3 linked regions of the Drosophila melanogaster genome follow. The gene in region 1 interacts genetically with each later gene. Each region holds a gene or a part of one and is shown on either strand. Other genes may lie near its edges.

Region 1 (7,941 bases):
GCAGCTGTAATTCAAAAAGGAATCACGTAAATAAAAGTGTGACGGGGCACATGCGGTATGCAGTTGCTCACCGATGGCAGCCCTGCCCTAGAGGGCGTCCCAGTCGGTCTGACTGTTGTAGACCTCCTCCTCCAGCCAGACCGCGTAATTGGCCTTGAAGTAATCCGTCAGCTCGACCTTGCGATCCCACCAACCCGAGTGACCGAAGAAGGCAAAGTCCGAGTGGGTAAGGATCTCGTCGCTGGGAAAGCCACCCTCCACACCATAGTCGTTGAGCTGCTGCTGCTGGTTGTGGCCGCCATTGCCACCGCCACCGTTGTTTCCATAGCCATTTGCGTCGCCATTATTGCCACATCCATTGTTGCCCGCCATCATGTTGGATTGCTGGGCGTTCTCCGCATTCTGAGCTGCCGTGCCGTTGTTTCCACACTTCTGGGTGGCTTCCGGATAGCGTCGCAGGTTGAATCGATCCACGCAGGCCCGCAGCGTACACTCCTCCGCCTGGAAGTCCCAGGGACGCGACTCCAAGTCGTTGCCAAAGGCCCAATCGTCGTTTAGACGATGCCGCACCTTGGCGTAAATTGCACTCATGGTCTTCATATTGGACTTCCGCCACTGGCGGCCCAAGTACTTGGTCTGCATCTTGAGCAGCTTCAGCACGTACAGCTGCATCATGGCGTGGCGCACCTTAAGCGTCTTCTTCAGGATTGGTGCCGACTTGAATACCACCAGCATCATCACTCGCGAGTGCTTCCACTTGATCAGCTTGTTGAGGATGCGCAGCAGGTTTATGCAGGAGAACACGTTCCGCCAAGAGTAGGACTTATCGGACATCTCTCCGCCATACACAAAGCTATCGCCACTCAAATCCGGTTGCTCACCAATCACACACGACGGGAAATCGAGCAGAGGAATGGAGTTCTTGGTGTTCACGTACTCCGTGATTGTCTGATTGAAGAACTTCAAAACCAGCGGGATGCAGTTGGCGAACACGAGATGCTGCGACATGAACTCAAACTGGTAAACATGGTTTATCTTGAAATGCTTTAAATATAGCAGGATGATGGCCGAGACAGCCTTCACAATGATCTCCTTGTGCCGACCAATGTCGACGGTTAGCTTTGTTGATTGGGTGGCCGTCAGCGGCATCTTCCTAGGCAGCACATCGGCCATTATGTTGATGCTCTCCGTCTTGGACTTGGACGTTGGCGAAGCTGCCAGCAGGACCTTGAGAAGGGCGATCATATACTGCGGCAGGTTTGGCAGGATGGCTTGGTACAACACCTCAGCCGGGGTCAGTTTGATTTCGTCCTCGTGCGTGGAAATGGGGTTCCTAGCTATGTCCTCCTCCTTCTTAATTTGCACATCGGCCAGGCTCATATACATGTGCCGCTGCAGCGTCTTAAAGCCCTCGTGAATGGGTTGCGGCAGTCCAGCCAGACTCTCGTGGTCACCAATCAGTGAATACCCGATGAACTTATTCCGCGAAATGTCCAGAAACTGGTCAATGTCCTTTTGTCGCACCTTAGGCGTCCAGGGCAGGCGAGCCGTGATCTGTACCGGAGGCACAGCAGCGGGTGGCTGTGTTAGGCTAGGCTGGTTGTTTGGATTTGCCGTCGAGGTGGTGGATGCCGACGAAGAGGGGTCATCGTAGGGTCGGTAGTACTGAGAGAGTTCTTCCTCCCCGTTTCCGCCATTGCCGCTGCCATTGTTGGCATTATTTTGACCCTCGTTGCCGCCCATCTCCATGTCTATCTGCTCGGGCTCGTCCAAAAAACGCTGCTTCATCAGGGAGCGTCTGTGCGGCAAGGAAAATGAATGTATTGAAAAGTGTACATAAGTGATCTAAGACTCCGCTTACTTGAAGTTCCGCTTGGGATACTGGTTCTCCAGTATATCAGTAGCTGTGGCCGGCGGTGAGCTGGCTCGCATGCACTTGGTAACCTCCAGCGTGTCCTCGGTGATGGGTTCCAAACCCACCTTCAATCGATACTCGTTCTTGAGATTCTTGAGCACATCCATGCCTCCCAGTCCCAGCAGCGAAACTTTCCACAGCAGGAGGACAACCTTCTTCATGGGGAACTGCGGTGCTGCGCCACTGCAAAACCGTGTGATCATGCCCAACAGCTTGACGGCCAGAAGTTCGCCATCTGGTAGTGGTGAGTTGATTTCTTGCACAAAGGAGTCGGCCAGCTCTCTGTAGTCTTCGCTGCCCTTTTCCTTTTCATCGCGAATCGTTTCTGTGATGATGTAGAGCACAGATAGGATCACCCGAATGTCCGTGGAGTCCACAAGCGTGACGTTAGTGATCTTGACGGCCACAATGTCCGGAGAGCAGGCGCTTTCGATCTCCATGTTGAGCAGGTCGATGAAGGAGGCGAAGACGCCGAGTTGGTAGAGCACCAGCACATTGTCCCTGGTGATCTGGTGCTGCTCCTCGTCCGACTGAACCTCCGCCCAGCAGCCTTGGGCCAGGTAAAGGATGCACCGGGCGGCCTGCATGCGAAAGGATCGATCGGAGACCTCCAGCTGGTCCACCAGCTTCATCACGATGCCGCGCTGGGAGGCGGAGTCCTGCTTCTGCCAGTTGGGCGGCAGGTCGTACAGCTCCATCTGGTCCTCGAAGGCCTTCACGTTCATCTGAAACTCGCTGAACTCCGTGTAGCTATACAGTTCAGCGATCTCGTTCTGATAGCCATCCACGTCCGCGTACACGAAGTCCAGGTCGGGCCCGTCGCAGTTGGCGTCCGCATCGTGGGTGTCCTGCTCAAAGGAGTTGTTTATGGATGTGAGCATCATTCCGCCAATCCTTTTTCGCCACACAGGGATCTCTTTTGTGTGGAAGTGTATGTGCGTGAGTGTGGGCTACTCGTGTATGTGTATCCTGCGGCGGTGGGCGGTGCGCCTGGCGTGGGCGTGGTTGCTCCTGCTCGCTGGTTTTCTCTCCCACTTGGTCTTAGTAGCACATGGACGTACTAAGCAATTCGCACTGCATTTCACTGGGTAATTTCGACTGCAATTTGTTTCTCGCCAAAAACAAAAACGCACAATGGAAAAAGAAGAAAATTCGTACGACCGTTTGCTGTGTGGTCGGAAAATACCAAACAGCAAATGGTGTTGGCCGTCTGGCAAGGCCGTTCGATCGGATGTGGCAGCGACTGATGCAATTGCCGCTGCTTTAAATTTGAAATAAGGGTTCTGTTTGATTTGTACTAATATTAGGAATAGGGATTGTTTCATTTTGATATTTTGTGTTTACAAAATGATAATCAATAGTAATGATATATACAATTTGAAGCTCTAATTAAAGGCTTTTACTTTCATGCTTAAATTTAGAAAGTAGGGCTTAACCACCACACTTGGCAACTCTGGAAAAGTTGTGCTCCTAGTGTGACCAGACCAGAACATTACAAGTGCTTTCACCTACACATATAAATAAGGGTTTTTGCAAGTCGCCGGTTTCAGTTTTATTTACGCTTCGAAAGTGAGAAAGTGCCCAGTTCCATTAGTCATTGCTATTACGCCATAAGTAAGCCCAAACAATAATACCCAGCTGTCGAGATTAAGCACAGCATAATCAGCCCAAAAACACAGCTGGTCGAGGTGACAAGAATATATGTATATAGAGCAGGGAAAACAGTCGAATCGAATCTGAACTTTGCTCCCGATTTTCGCCCATATCAGCGTGAGCTTGCAGAATCTCGGCATTCGCATTCTATATTTGTATCCCTGCATCCGAAACTCGCAGCAGATCGTTGTGAAATCGTACACATAGTCGATATATAGCTCAGTAATGGCTGGCCGCTCCATCGTCCACTTTTTTCTGGGGTCCGTGGCAATCGCCCTGGGATCGTACATCTACTTCACCATGCAAGTAATTACCCACAACACTAACTATCCCTTCAAATTGCTGTCCAATCAACTCGAACAATGGCATGCATGTGCAATCAGCGACGGTAACGAGGCAGCGTCGTGGGTTACGTGGGCCAATCCTGGCCAGCTTAAAGGTCACTGTGCGTAGCCACTAGGTTGCGTGACTCACAGGGTGCTGGGATATACATATATGTACATATAGCTCTTGACTTTGACCCCGATGAATTATGCAGCGTCACTGTAACCAGAAGCCTGATAGCACCCTCGTAAATGTCTATGAAACAACATACAACTATTAGGAAACCCATTATCAAAACGTGAAATAATCTTGGATGTTTGTCGTCGGGTTGTCGAATACAATCTATACACCACATACATTTCCACACTTTCTTATTCGGAAATAAGATAGCTTTGAGCTATCTTACTACTTTACTTACTACTTGCTCTTATCTACTTAACTATTTCGTTAATCAGTAGAAATGTGGACTTGATTTTTATATTTTCCCATTTGAATTGTTTTGAAACGATTGTTGTTCGATCTGATACACAACGTACACATCCACACCAGTAATTCCTTCACTTGCCTAAGCTTTCACTAAATTTGAACATTCTGCCCGGTTATTATTTGCAGCATTTAAAGAATGAGTCTCAGGCAGTTTCAGAACATTTCCCGCCAGGCCCTCAGGTGCTACTCGATGAGGCGGACCCCTGGCCCCGTCCTCGAGCTGAGTCGCGGTCAGAGGCAGTGCCTTCGCCTCTGCACCATCATGCTTCCCGTGAGCTGTGCGGCCACGCCCATGAACGCCATCTCCTCAGCCGCCCAGCACTCCACAGCAGCTGCCGTGAGTAGTGCTGATTGCTAGTTGACTAGATCCTAACCCGTTGACTAACTCAGTTGCTTGATTCTGCGCCTAACTAAACGTTGTAGCCTTTGCCACTGCCTGTGTTCTCTGTTCTCTGTTCTCTGTTGCCTGTTCACTGCAATGAACCGCGTAGCCTGGGTCGATTTTGATACAGAATATAGTGTTTCATACCCCGATTGAAGATAAGGCTATAAATATCTATATCTCTTGATCAAAACATCGACCCAAGCCTTCACAGCCACTAGTAATTACCCAATTCTAACTCCCACTTTCTATTGCTTCCAGATCGACATGTCTGCTAACGGAGATTACAAGAACGCCGCCTCGATCTACGAGTTCACCGTGAAGGATACCCATGGCAACGATGTTTCCCTGGAAAAGTACAAGGGCAAGGTGGTCCTGGTGGTGAACATCGCCTCCAAGTGCGGCCTGACCAAGAACAACTACGAGAAGCTGACGGATCTAAAGGAGAAGTACGGCGAGCGCGGCCTGGTGATCCTCAACTTCCCGTGCAATCAGTTTGGGTCCCAGATGCCGGAGGCCGATGGAGAGGCCATGGTGTGCCACCTGCGCGACTCCAAGGCTGACATCGGCGAGGTGTTCGCCAAGGTAAGACTATTAAAGCTGCTAGCCGATTGCTGTAGACCGAGTCACTAAACTTGCCCCACCCCCGCAGGTCGATGTGAATGGAGACAATGCGGCGCCGCTGTACAAATACCTAAAGGCCAAGCAGACCGGCACCCTGGGCAGCGGAATCAAGTGGAACTTCACCAAGTTTCTGGTGAACAAGGAGGGCGTGCCCATCAACCGATATGCCCCGACCACCGATCCCATGGACATCGCCAAGGACATTGAAAAGCTGCTGTAGATGTGCCCTAGACGTTAGCTGCTCTTTTGGACTGTGTTTTCGCGTAGCTTTAGCTTGTAACCGTCTGGCCACAGATAGTCTTGTGGCCGGCCACATGCACCGCATGGTATATATATTGTCTACTCCTTACTGGTTTTGATTCCCACCCGCAAACATAATAAACGCCATTCGTGGTTACCACACTATCACCTGGGTGTTTGGCGACGCCGGGCACGTACTTTGATCGGTAGTTGGAACTGTATCAATTCGGACTTACCGTGTCAACGCTGGCGCGTTCAATCCGCTTGCTGGAAGCAGCAATGGTGTTAAGCACGTTGATCCTAGACTGGATGGACTGCATCATCGAGGATCTGGCGTTTACGGCGCCACAGCTTAACTGGTTTTTACAAGTGTCAAAAAGGAGTTTATTTTTCTGTTTCCAAGCCATATATATTTGTTAGGTGACTGTGAAATTTGGAGATGTCATATTAAGGGAAAAACGAAATTCACAAAAGAAAGGTATGATGTTTTCAACGGTAGAGCACAATTTTTGAAAACTTGTTCAACTTAATGACCACGAAAGCTCGCATTGTTTTAAAACTAATTAATCTTTGAAAGGACCTTGATCAATTAGTCTGAGTTTTAGATTTTAAAACCCATATTTGCCTTTCTCTATAATGATATTCAAAACAAGTTTGCTTTAATATCCTTTAGATATTTTTGAAAGAAAAGTTACTTTTTCTGTGAGTAGGCAATATCTGTTTTAAAATATTCCCCCTTACCAATTTGACCTTATTGGTGGTTACTTTAAGTGCAGAAAGAAGCAAAAGTACTTCACATTAACCTTTACCTTCTTTCCGAATTCGAGTGCTCCGAGTGTTCGCCAAATGCTCGCCAAACTTCGATTGCGCAAGTTTGCCTGACCAGCACCCCCAAAACCAACAAATGCGAATCCGTCAGCCCATTGGGGCGCCGATCTCGAGCTGCTCCTCCTCCAGTGGAGCAGTTCAACGTCTCGGCCGGATTTCAAGTTCAAACCAGCTGCCAATGGAGCGGCGACTCCGACCTTCCGACAATTACATGAAAATGCTGCACTCACCATTTACGGATGCCATCGAAATTCGCAGTGGAGATCAGGCGGAGAAAAACCAAACTGATGAGCTGGAGCGAAATTAAAGATCTCTATTGGATTAGCTTCTTTTACCCGAAAGAACTTTTCCCAAATTTTCCCAAGAAATTATTTTAATAAAATCGCATATTAAATGATATATCTGTGATATATGAACGAACTTAGGCCCCTTTTCTCTCAGTGCTGGTGCGTGCCACACAAGTGTGAAGCGATGACAGCAATTTGTTGAATGCATCATCGCTCAAATGCGATCGCTCGAATGCCTTTAATTGTAGAACTAGGTTAAGCATCTGAGACTCATCCCTAAACAGTTTGGCCCAGGTCAGTAGCGAAGCTATCGAAGCTATTGTCGCCATAGTGTGTATGCATTGCTATTCCCAGTGCTGCAGTTGACTTTGACACTGATCGCGATCGCGATTGCGAATGCGATCGCTCCCCCAATTTTGATTCCGAATCCACCCAAAATCCGTATAAATATGCGGAGCACACTCCACTATCGATCAGACAGCGGTCAGCTTTGGTGGTGGTCAGCAGTGATTGGACACACAGCTAGGATTTTTGACTTCGGATTGGTAACAGGATTAGAACAGGATGTTCCGAGGAGTGCTGGTGCTCCTGCTGGTGGCCTGCAGCCAGGTGGATGCGGCCACCCATGTCAACATCTCGATTGCACAGCAACCGGCCACAAATCCGGCGGATGTGAAGTACGTCGATGGTATGGCTCCGGCCGAGCTGAGGGCGGGTCCTCAGAGGGATGAGGATCAGCAGTTTCAACGCATCCAGGAGCGACAGCAGCAGGTGCTATCCCAGTCCCAGCAACAACAGCAGCAACAGGTGTCTCAAACCCAGCAGCAACAGCAGCCCCAGCAGCTGTCTCCTCGCCAGGGATTGGGATTGCAGCCGCCAGCTCAGGGTCAGTCACCTATGTCCAAGAACGGACGACTGCCCCGTCGCCGGAATCACAGCCGACGCCCCTCCATCCACCAGCAGCCGCCGAGTCCTCATAGTGGCCAGTTTCGACAGCGCAACCAGCAGCTCCGCCAGAACCAGGAGTTCGAGCGGTACATCCAGTCCTACCACAGCCATGGTCCCACCGTGGAGACGGTAAATGGAAAGAAAGTAACATGTTGAGCCAGCAAGTTAACTACCTTACCTTCCAGGTCTACGAGTCATCGAATCCGTCCCCGCAGCGCTATACTCAAACCAGCTCCGGAATAAGTTCGTCCTCG
Region 2 (4,780 bases), on another chromosome or scaffold:
GAATAATAACTATCAGAGGGTAATGTGACTTCGAGACCAGCCCTTTTCTTCGGTTTCTTGCTGAATTGTGCACGGCAAAAACAATTACAATTTCGCAAACAAAGATAATTTGCGAATGAGATCGACGACACGACACAATGGCACTTTACAACAACAAGAAGAACAACACGACAAATGGGGCGGGTATGGGGGTCTGTCAAGAAAACCTGAATTTCGAAATGGAAGGGCTAAAAAAAAGGTGAAAAATCAGAAATCAGAAGCTTCTTTCCAATTCCAGAAGTCAAAACGCTAATCGGTAATCGACAATTGCTTATCGGTCATCGACAGTTTTCGCGTTTTCAAATTGTTTGTGGCTGGCAATACAAGGTGAATTGTAAAAAAAAAAAATTAATAAGTGCGAGCAAAAAATGCGATCACATAGCAAACAAAGCTGCAAATCAAGCGAAACAAACACGTCGCCCTCTTAACAAGATATAACCGGGTTAAGCACAATAATATATCTTTTAATATAAATACTTATTCATATACGATAGTAAAACTGATAAAAGATAATTTTCAAGAGAATCTGTTAAGATTGTGAACCAAAGTCTGTGCATTCAATTTCCAGCTAAAACCAAACAACGAAAGACAAAAAGAACAGATTGCTAATTAAAATTTATGGGTGTCATAATTTTCCGACAATTAAAAGTCTCATTTTACAGCAAGAAATATTGATTTGGTCAGCAGTACCATGTGAAAAAATATTACTGATATATTGCAAAACAACCATTTTAGATTTCCATGTGCCATAGCTTTGGCTTTCAGCTATAACTTGTTTTAAACAATATAAGCTTATTTTGCATTACACGTTTAATTAAATTGGGACAGCATAAATTTTTGATAATTACAAGCACCTTTTCCAAAATCGAAAGTAAATCAGCACCTGCCGTTTAATAATTCACTTTGGTGAGCAATATTTATTTTTTGCCAACTCCGCGCTTTTTTAAAGAAAATTTTGTAACCGTAAAACACCAATATAACAATCCATTGCATTCATAGTAATTTCCATTTTAAAACATTGTTAATTTACGGAAAGAATAGTTTAGGAAACTTTTAATACAGTAAGTTGACTTAGTAGCAGAAGAATAAACTTTAATATTAAATATTTCTTTAACAAAGTTAAAAACTTTGCTATCTTCCTTACAACCTATGTTAACCACAGTGACAACAATGATCTATGAGTAAGCGTAAAGTTTGCTTAATACATTATATTATAGTTTTGATATTATACTTTCATAAATTAGTATGGTTGGGTAAATGGTTGTAATTAATATATTGAAAAATGTAAGATCTTATGACTGACATGTGACCACAATAGAGTTAAGTTTAAGTTCTTTTTTAATATAGTTTAACTATTAAGCTATTACTCCATGGTTTCATATATCTTGTGGAGTAAAGTGCTGTTAACATGTTCTGTAAACATATGATACAACTTTCCTTAACTCTTCGACCATTGTGCTGTTAAGTTAAAAATACCTCTTAATATACTTTTATTATTGATAAATAGTTTAGATTCATATACATATCTTGTGGCGCAAAGAACTTTTAACATTATCCATCAACTGAATGGAGAGTTTTCAGTAGGAGTGTGACCACTGTGCGCCATCGTTTCGCATCTCGTAATTTTGCTTGTGTTGTTGCTGTTGTTGTTGCTGCTGCTATTATCGCAGCGAGTTGTTGCTGCCGGCGACGATCTTCGTTTTGTCGGCGGCTTCAGTTCAGTTCAGTTTAGTTCGAGTTCGCACTCGGCCACAAACGGTCGGTCGGTCGGTCGGTTGTTCGTTCGTTCGTTCGCTGAAGGAGAATTGTGGAGAAGAAATTGAACCCGTAATCTTCGGAATCCGTAAAGCCGTAGTCCCGTAGTCGTAAGGCGATCGCGAGAATTGAAATTGTGCTGCAACTCAAGTAAAATAATATTGTGTCGCACAAGATCACTGCGTGTCGCGCTCAATTAAATACACATCTTTTTTTTTATATTTTTCCCCCGGTCTTTATTTATTTTTTTTTGTTTAATTTTTTTTATTTGCGCTACAACGTTGTTATTTATATTTAATTGTTTTGTAACAACAACAACAACAGCAGCCGAGTTAAGTGCGAAAAGTGAAGTGAAGTTTGTCGGCGAGTGAGTGCGAGTGCGCACAAAAATTGGAGCAGGTTCCAGAGATCTTGAGATCTTCAGAACTAGAGATTCCCAGTTCCTAGGCTCCCGGGTTGCGACTTTTGGCGGCATTGGCGTTCCCCTGGTAATTTAATTGAAAGTGATGATCGTAGCCCATCCATAAAGCCACTTACCGGTAGTTCCCCCATCCTTTCACAAGTTCAAGTTCACCGACCACGCGGACTCCTTTTTTCGCTCTTCCACCCGCTCTCTCTTCTCACTCTATCTCTCTTGATCGCTTGCCCTTCTTTCACTCGAAGAAAATACAGTGCACACTCGAGATGGTGAATTTGGATTGGCCATTAATTGCTCCCAGTTTGGGTTATCATACTAAATCTTTGTACAATATCTTTGGAAAAAGATTAAAACCTAACTTTAAATAAATAGTAATAATTACTGCTGTACAACTATTCTTTTTTTTTTCTGAGTGAAAAGCTCTTTTGTCTTTCTCGCCAAAAGTGCGTTGGATTTCTTTACATTGTGCCTGGTTCTCTTCGGTTTACACACTCGGTACATTGCACCCTTGGTCCCTGTTTCCTTTAGTGTCGTCTTTCGCTTTCAATGCATTTTGACAGTGGATTGCTAATCGGCCAGGTATTCGCAGGCCACCTTATAGCACCTACCATATATACCCATCGTACATCTACATACCATTCATACATACAATCGCATTCGCATTCGTATATTCGCATTCGCATTCCTGTCGCCGTTGTCATTTCCTCACCTCATCGGGCACCGCCCTCTTGCTTTCACGCACCTGATGATAAACGGCTCAAATTTTGATAATGTGTACGGATTGTGCTGCAAATTGCTCAAATGGCTAATCAGCTGTTGCTAGCACATATGTATAACCCCCTATACTCCATATCTTTCCAATGAAATCGGCGGGAAATTGGCTTTGTCTCGAGTCTTATCGCATGCCAAAAAAAAAAAACGAAAAATCAAAAGGCAAAAACCCAAAACTTAAGTCTGAGCTCCAAGTCTAAACCAAAACCGCAACATCATCTCAATATTTCCTTAACCACAAGTGCACAGAGCAAACAAGGTCTACTATTACTATTGACTAATTAGGCATTCTTAAGATATAAAAATATATAAATAGAGCAAAATGGTATAACAATTATAATCTATATTATCTAACATAATATCCAAAACCGTGGTGTGCGTGAAACGTGCCCTAATTTTCGCTCTGTGTGCGTGCATCAGCGGATTGCTGATAAGTGGAGAATGTTTATTGTCATTACCTGTGTCCCACTACCTGTACATTCCCCTACCCTGCGGTACTACCCCTCCGGTCGATATGGTATTCCTCATGCAATTTGCGGTTGTCACAGCTATTAGGTTTAGATAGTCCACTGTAGCGGTCTTATCAATGGGTTGCTTTCGCTGGTCAGTCAGTCAGCCAGGTATCTCTGTACGTACGTATGTTTGCCATGCCAGTATTATGATAGCGATCGTCAGTGGTTTACTTCGCTAATGATCCTCGTCGCTCAGCATGGGAACATCGCATCTGTATATGCCCACTAATCCCACTCGTATATTTTGGCTTTTTTGGCTTATCGCGATGGTCATTTAAATACACGTAGGAATCGTTGCGATCCCATCATATACATACAAACGTATGTGCCCAGATATTTTTGGGATACCATTTCCTTTCTTCGGGCTCTTTCCAGTTAATATCTTTTTAGTAGTTCTTAGAATTAATTTATCATATCATATCACTCACTGAACTAACTAATTTGTCCACTTAATGGATACAACTCATGATTATCAAGTGATCTCTGTGAATACCAATTCATTGACTGATAGATGATCACACTCAAATAAAATCGCTATAATTTCCGATGATTATTGACTATGCTTATAAGTCCTTAGCCCTACTGAATGATCTCAGCTAAATTCCCCACCAAACTTTTCTCACCCACACACGAAATGCCGCAATGTCGAGTTAAAATTATTCGATGGCAAGAAAAAAAAAACAGAGATTAAATAACAAAATACCAAAAAAAAAAAAAATTGCCAAAAAAGTCAGCTTTGACTAATGCGCTGCATTGGCGGTGCGATCATTTTTTGGCGATCACTTTTTAGCACCAGTTGAGCTACCATGTGGGCGCAGCGGCAGCCAAAATAGTTGGCCAAGAGTCTCGAGGTCTGAAAGTCGCACTCTTGTTTTTGTTTCGACTTTGTTTTGCTTTCGGCTATCAACAGCTAACCGCTGCGCCCAACTGTTCCAATAGAAAGCCAGTTAACAGCGATACGCTCCGGTTTTCTGTCTTCTCTCTGTTTTTATTATTGGGAAGGGAGATCGAGATCGTTGGATGGGAATCGATCAGTTGATTCGCGGTTCGTAAGTGTCTAAATATAGATTTCGACCATATTTGCTGGCAAATATTGGCCATGAGTGTGCGGCGGGCTGAACCTGCCTCAATTCAAGTGGCACAGTATCTGTATCTGGGCTCCTATATCTTTATACATATCTTTGTACATATATATGAGTATTTGCGAGTGAGTGCACGTGTTTTTGTGGCAGACGGCAGATCGGGCAACATGTCACCCCACGCGACATGCCACATACTACATACT
Region 3 (6,622 bases), on another chromosome or scaffold:
CAAATCCATTAAAATTCCTTCCAGATGACATCCCAATGATAAGCTAAACCTTAAAATTTAATCAGCATCAGCTGTTATTTTGTTTGTATATTCCATTTCGTGTAAATTGCTTTAAAACAGCCCGCGAATGGCATACCCGGAGTCAAAATGGTTAAATTATTGGACAATACAAATCAATATTTTACAAGCAATTCAGCGTGTGGATAATGGTCTTATGATAGGCATTTTGCCAAACAACTACTCATGTATGAGTAGGGTTTCATCTAAGACTTGTAACAATATGAAAGGAATACTCCTTAGAGAATTATTGGTGAATGTAAAATCGTAAAAATTTGGTATGAAGTCTTCATAGCAGAGGCTCATTCTCTATCTTGACATCGCACTCAACCATGGAGCTGTCGACATAGTCAAACGAAGTTGGTGTTTTTCGGCTACTGATTTGGTAGCTGGAATTGGATAGATGGTACTGGGATTTCTCCAGCTGAGTGGCAAAACTGGAATTCGGGGCTGGTGTTAGTTTGGGCATGCTGCGCTCTAGAACGTCTTCGGGTCCCGCCGCCGCGAGCATGTGCTGATCCTCCTCCCTGAGTTCCACCAGAACGCGCGCCATCTCCATTCGAAACTTAAGATTGCTAATGGCTGACAGAGACTTTACGTGCGGCATCATGCTCATCAAGAAACTCAAGTCCGAATCGTTCTTTAGATCGGGTTCAGTGGTAGACTTTGACGCCTGGCTGGCGTATCCATTCAATAAGGGGACATCGTTAGACGGCGAAGTTTTCCTCCGACGTCCTCTCTTCGAAGGCGGGGGTGGACGTGGCAGGAATTGTTGGTGGCGCGGCAAGTGTATGGGCAATGTGGGCGATAGATCCTGATCGGAACGATGGGCGCCCGAGGATGAAGAATCCAAAGGCTTGATCAGCGAGCCTTTATCCGAGCCAGAGTCCTGGGGCACTGACGGCTCCCGCTTAAATATGTCCTCGATGATTTCAAAGTCAACAGAGTCATCATTGTCCAAATCCAAATCGATAGCGAAGTCAACCAGTCGGGTGGGCTCGAAGACTTCCGGCTGCTCGGTGTTCATCACGAAGGGCTCTGGTGGAAAGGGCACCAGGCCCTCCGGATCGAAGATTTGGCGCATGAACTCCAGTGAGCGAAAGTATGGCCAGTGGGACATCTCGATTCGTTTCTGCTGTATCTTGCGCACCTCTGCCCGGTAGCTGTCCCGCATTCCCTTGAAACGTTTCTTGCAGATCGAGACTGCAAAATGACCAGGTGTTATTTATAGGTTTCCTAGGCATATAAAACCCTCCTCGTTTATCCGCCACTCACCATCCTGCTGCATTATCTGCGCGACACTCGCCCACTGGAGAGCTGCGTCCTGGTTGCGGTACGAAATGGACATGTTTGTGTCCCACAGGCACCGCCGCTTGGACACCTCCTGTATGAGACGGTAGTTATCTGATTTCATGGCGCAGTGGACCAGAAATTGCGGTTTGTCCACAAATGCAATGCTCCGAAACTTGCGGATCCCGAATTTTCAACGCAATTTTCACAGCAATGACCGCGCTCACAGCAAACTCGACGAATGTGTGAGCGGTTTCGACCCGACGGTAACACTTTTAATATCCCAAATTCGGGCTTGCTTTGCTGCGTTTTGGTGGAATATACAAAATCTTGCTCTTGCTAAATCTCGCAGTTTCGCTTGCCACTACAAATAAATGATTAATTGCGCCTGGCAGCTCTGGTCGAACAGCTGCTTAACGGTATTACCAGGTGCATGCAAAACGGCCACACCAAAGGCACTATGACACTAGATGAACTTATTTAGTAGGATTTATTACAAACGTTTAAAGAGCACAATGTACAATAACTGCATTTGATTCCAAAAAAAAATGTTAGTTTAAAGATAAAGAATTAGATAAAGACCCTTTTGGTCGAAAAACAGTAAGAAAGAGACGAGTCAGTTCGTGGTGTCATACCAGCATACTTTCATTGGGGTTGCAACCCTGGCAGTAAAACAAATGATTCACAAACGAATTGATTTTGTTGCCGGCTGTGGGTTTAAAACTCGATAAAATCGTCAAGCAGCCATGTCGAATTCTGTGGAAGAGTGCAAGGATGAGGACCTGCCGGCAAACACGCTGGAGCACTTCACCGAACTGCAGCAGGTGCTGGAGATGATCGACAACATCAAATCCATTGCCGCTAACACCTTCGAAAGGGAGTTCGAGCAGTACGCCCAGGTTTTGTCTAGATATCAGGAGCAGCCACACCTCTTGGATCCACATTTGGAGGAGTTACTCGGCAAACTGCTCCACAAGATTCGGAAGCCAGATCTAGACACTGGAGAGCTTCATGCAGCCTTCAAGTATCTCTACATCATCTGCAAAGTGCGCACCTATAAGGTCCTGGTAAAGTTTATGCCACACGAACTGAGCGATCTGGAGTTTGTTCTGGATTTGCTGGGTCAGCAAAATCCCAAGGAGTTCGAACAGTGGGAAACGCGCTATATACTGCTCCTGTGGATGTCTATCCTGGTCCTAAATCCCTTTCACATGTCGAGACTAGATGCCTATGACACCTCCACATCTGCTCCCACCACCAATTGCAGTCCCGTGAACCATGTTCAGTCGAAGAACACCAAGATGGATCGCATCTTCGAGCTCATCCAGCTTTATGTGTCCTCCAACGACACATGCAGCAGCATGGCTGCTTTCCTGGCCGCCAAGTATTTCATTCGCAGTGACATCAAGGATCTATATCTGGAGCGCTTCCTGGACTGGATTATGGAGCAGCACCAAGCGGACACGTTGAACGTCAAGTTCGGCCAACTGGCTGCAGTGGCTGCTATTTTAAAGCACGGAAAGCGAGAAGATCTTCTGCCCTATGCGGACAAACTTCTTCAGTGGATCACTTCCTGTCAGTACAAGGATGACAACGACTTTCTCAAGTACAAGAACTATGTAAAAATCATCCAGAGAATTGGATTGGTTCATTTGAAGCCACGCATTGCCAGCTGGCGGTATAAAAGAGGTAAGCCTGGGGTTTGTTATTCACGCATGAAACCATAATAAACTAGTGTTTTCTTAGGCACTCGTTCACTGGCCACCAATCTAAACCAGACAACTGCGGCAGGAGGTGAACCAGTTGTTTTGGAGCAATCCCTGGAGGAAGGCGAGGAAATAGTGGTCCCCGATGCCATAGAAGAGGTGATTGAGGAGCTGCTCCAGGCACTGCGAAGCGGAGGAAACGATATACGCTGGAGCGCCGCCAAAGGATTAGGCAGAGTCACCAATCGCCTTCCCAAGGAGCTGGCCGATGAGGTTATAGGGTCTGTGATTGATATACTCAACCCGCTGGAACCCCACGAGGCCTGGCATGGTGCATGCCTGGCTTTGGCAGAACTGGCAAAAAGGGGATTGCTGCTGCCACATCGATTGGAGGAGCTAGTACCCCTCCTTATGCAGGCGCTCTTCTACGACGAGATGAAGGGCTACATGTCGGTGGGGCAACACATCCGAGATTCAGCCTGCTACATGTGCTGGGCATTTGCCAGGGCTTACAATCCGGATGATGTGAAGCCATTTGTGCACAAAATCTCATCTGGCCTGCTGACCGTTGCAGTGTTCGACCGCGAGGTGAACTGCAGGCGGGCTGCCTCGGCAGCTTTTCAGGAAAGTGTGGGACGCCTGGGCAACTTTCCCTTCGGAATCGAAATCTCCACCACGACGGACTTCTATTCCGTGGGCATCAGGCAGAATTCCTATCTAAACATCAGTGACTACATTGCACAGTTTGAGGTGTACAGGGAACCATTGATTAACCATCTAGTTCAGCATAAGGTAAGCCATTGGGATTCGGCTATAAGGGAGCTGACAGCCAAAGCCCTGCACAAACTATCCCTTTGGGAGCCCGAGTACATGGCCGCTGTGGTGCTGCCGCAACTGCTGGCAAAAACTGACACCATCGATATTAACTGCCGGCATGGTTGTGTCTTAGCCATGGGAGAAATAACACTGACCCTACGGAAACTAGAGGAAAAGAGTGATCCCCAAGTGGTTTACCTCTCCAACCAACGGGTTGCGGAGCTGAATGAACTAATAATAACGTTCCTAGACAAAAATTTCTATCGCGGAATGAGCGGCGACCTGATGAAATCTTGCACCAGCAGCTACATAAAGAACTGCAGTCTGGCCAAGTTGCAGGCTACGCCGGAGTGCTTGGGTAGGAAAAGAGTCCCTAAAGTATAACAAGCATATTATTTAATTGCGTTTATTCGTTTCAGTTTCCTGGCAGAAAGTCATCGATTCCTGTTTGATCACCAAATCAAACGCTATTCGGGATGGTGCGGTGGAAGCGTTCGGTGAACTCTGTACCACTTATTACTGCTCAGATTCCAGGCACGGGGAAAACGAAGCCATAATCAACACTTATCTAACAGGTGCAGATAACGATTTGGAGGAGCACATTCGCATGGGCTACATTGCTGCTCTGGGTGTGCTCCCATCCTTTATGATCCGCTGTCATCTGCAGGCTATATTGGACAGTCTGGTGAAGCACTCCCTAACTCCACTGCAAGCAGTTCTGGTGGGTGAAATGGGTGACCGCGAGAACATCCAGGCATACAGGTGGAGCGAGGCACGGACACAGAGCGTGCTGGCCTTGACCAAGTTGGTGAAGACCGTGGGATATGGAGGGGGAATTGGTGAGTCAATGATCTTAGTTGTGGGCTAAGAATGTGAACAAATCTTAGTATACAATTATTTTTTCAGACTCATTTGCTGAGCCGAAAAACTTTAACAAGGTTATCGAATGCCTGTTAAGAGCTCTTCAAGAGTACACCCTGGACAACCGTGGTGACATCGGAGCGTGGGTGAGGGAGGCGGCTATGTCATCGCTATACGAAATCGTCACTACGTGTCCGCCTGATCTCCTCGCCCCAGAGCAAGTGCATGAGATTGTCGTGGGCTTTATGCAACAGGCGGTGGAGAAGATCGATCGCACTCGTGGATTAGGTGGTCGCCTTTGCTGCCAACTGATCCATCATCAGCCGAGGATCCCCTACATACGGGAGCACTCAAAACTCTTGGAAATATTTCCCGCGGATGCGGATTCCGTACTTTGGTTATTTGCCGATCACACATTCCCGCTGTTCTGCGAGCTGCTCTCTCTGCCGGATTACTCTAAAAGAGTTCTTTTGGGTCTGAGTGCCAGCATTGGTCAACTGACTGAATCTCTTGTAAGTTGTATAGACCACCTCTATATCAATCTCTAAAATATTCTTCCTGCAGATCAAGTATGCCTCCAGTGCCTTATTCCACTTCTTGCGTTCCAATCCTGAGACTGTTCCGCGTCTCTGCTCCGAGGTGGTCCAGATTTTCGAGGAGCATCTACTAAACGAGCGCGTGACCTATCCTCTGCTCAGTTTCCTGGATATACTCATTGGCTCCGGAACTGTAGAATCGGTTCTACACGATGAAGCAAATCCCTTTGCAGAGGATATCTTTAGGCTGCTCAACCTGGAGGTTAAGGGCTACAAGAAGCTGTACAAGACTGCGACCAGCATCAGTGCTTTTTGCCAGTTGCTCCAGGTTCCTCGCCTGTCTAAACGCATCCTCTCCAAGCTCTCAGTATTTCTTGGACTGCAGCACGTCCACGTTCGCAAAACCGCTGCCACAAAATTGTACGAAGCGTTGGCTCTGCACGGCGATGTCACCGAAGTGCCCGAGGAGAATATGGATGAGATCCTAACACTGCTCTCCGAAACGGACTGGACCCAGCCGCTGGTGGAGGTGCGTCCGCTGCGGAACCAGTTGTGCCAACTAATGGACATCAAGCCTCCCGTAAGTGGAGCAGCTGCTGCAGCCGCTTTGCAGCAAGCGAGTGCTGATAAATGAATGTTCCCACATGTATTTAATATATATTAATGCACAATTGTACTGACAACATACATAAGTGGTATTCATAAGAATTTTTATTCTTTATTTTGGAAGCACATCTTTATTTTAACATGTTTTTTAATATTTATCGTTTTCAAAACAAAGAGCTTGTAAGTTCGATTTTAAAATTTCACTTGCTCAAAATAAATTAAATATTGTTCAACATTTCAAAAACCAACGAACACTTTTTGATAAAAAGTGGCTATTTTCAAGCCAAATAATTTCGAATAGGCGCTGGGCCATTTCCCATTTCATTGCGACGGTCACACTGCGACAGAGACAGAAAAAAACAAGACAGGCGAGGGAATGAAAAATAAATATAAATTAAACGCGGACTACCCAAAAGCAAGGAGGGATAAAGGAGTCGAGATCAATTAAACACCGCCGGACTTCACACGGAGAAATTTGTCATAGAAATTGGTTTTTTTGTAAATAAAACACGAACTCGCAAAACACACGTTTCTTTCGCCGCACAACGTTGTTACGTTACACAATTGTGGATTGTGGTGTCACCTACTCCGCAGCCAGTGCAAATCACGATGAGTATTTGGGGGGTCCGATGTCTGACGCAGAGGTTCATCCGGCAGGCGTACATCCTGGCCAACAGAAGGCTATTGGGTCCAGTGCCGCAGCGCTCGCCGCCGGCATACGGTAAGTGAGGTTATGGCCGGCTGGCCAAA

Evidence for each region. A genetic interaction does not mean that the proteins touch.
Region 2: of Strip (region 1) and spri, changing one enhances a phenotype caused by changing the other (phenotypic enhancement), as found in Drosophila melanogaster (one study listed by BioGRID).
Region 3: of Strip (region 1) and Tbcd, changing one enhances a phenotype caused by changing the other (phenotypic enhancement), as found in Drosophila melanogaster (one study listed by BioGRID).

Annotation. Positions count from the first base shown.
Region 1 is NT_037436.4:3,322,839-3,330,779, forward strand, and holds the start of Strip (striatin interacting protein), read right to left. Parts: upstream 6,034-7,941; 5' UTR 6,032-6,033; coding exon 5,861-6,031; intron 5,789-5,860; exon of another isoform or gene 5,605-5,788; coding exon of another isoform or gene 5,413-5,604; intron 5,346-5,412; coding exon of another isoform or gene 5,022-5,345; intron 4,716-5,021; coding exon of another isoform or gene 4,515-4,715; exon of another isoform or gene 4,505-4,514; intron 3,875-4,504; coding exon of another isoform or gene 3,794-3,874; exon of another isoform or gene 3,427-3,793; intron 3,199-3,426; exon of another isoform or gene 2,800-3,198; coding exon of another isoform or gene 2,764-2,799; coding exon 1,862-2,763; intron 1,799-1,861; coding exon 88-1,798; 3' UTR 72-87; intron 5-71; 3' UTR 1-4. Other genes in the region: Gtpx (glutathione peroxidase homolog with thioredoxin peroxidase activity), read left to right, coding at 4,515-4,715, 5,022-5,345, 5,413-5,604; CG14961 (uncharacterized protein), read left to right, coding at 7,304-7,816, 7,873-7,941.
Region 2 is NC_004354.4:10,582,412-10,587,191, reverse strand, and holds the start of spri (sprint), read left to right. Parts: upstream 1-1,769; 5' UTR 1,770-2,282; intron 2,283-4,780. UniProt on the Drosophila melanogaster protein: Potential Ras effector protein. May function as a guanine nucleotide exchange (GEF), by exchanging bound GDP for free GTP.
Region 3 is NT_033779.5:2,145,554-2,152,175, forward strand, and holds Tbcd (Tubulin-binding cofactor D), read left to right. Parts: upstream 1-1,964; 5' UTR 1,965-2,093; coding exon 2,094-3,036; intron 3,037-3,093; coding exon 3,094-4,227; intron 4,228-4,288; coding exon 4,289-4,708; intron 4,709-4,775; coding exon 4,776-5,242; intron 5,243-5,294; coding exon 5,295-5,900; 3' UTR 5,901-6,111; downstream 6,112-6,622. Other genes in the region: CG11723 (uncharacterized protein), read right to left, coding at 347-1,260, 1,333-1,471; AIF (apoptosis inducing factor), read left to right, coding at 6,482-6,593.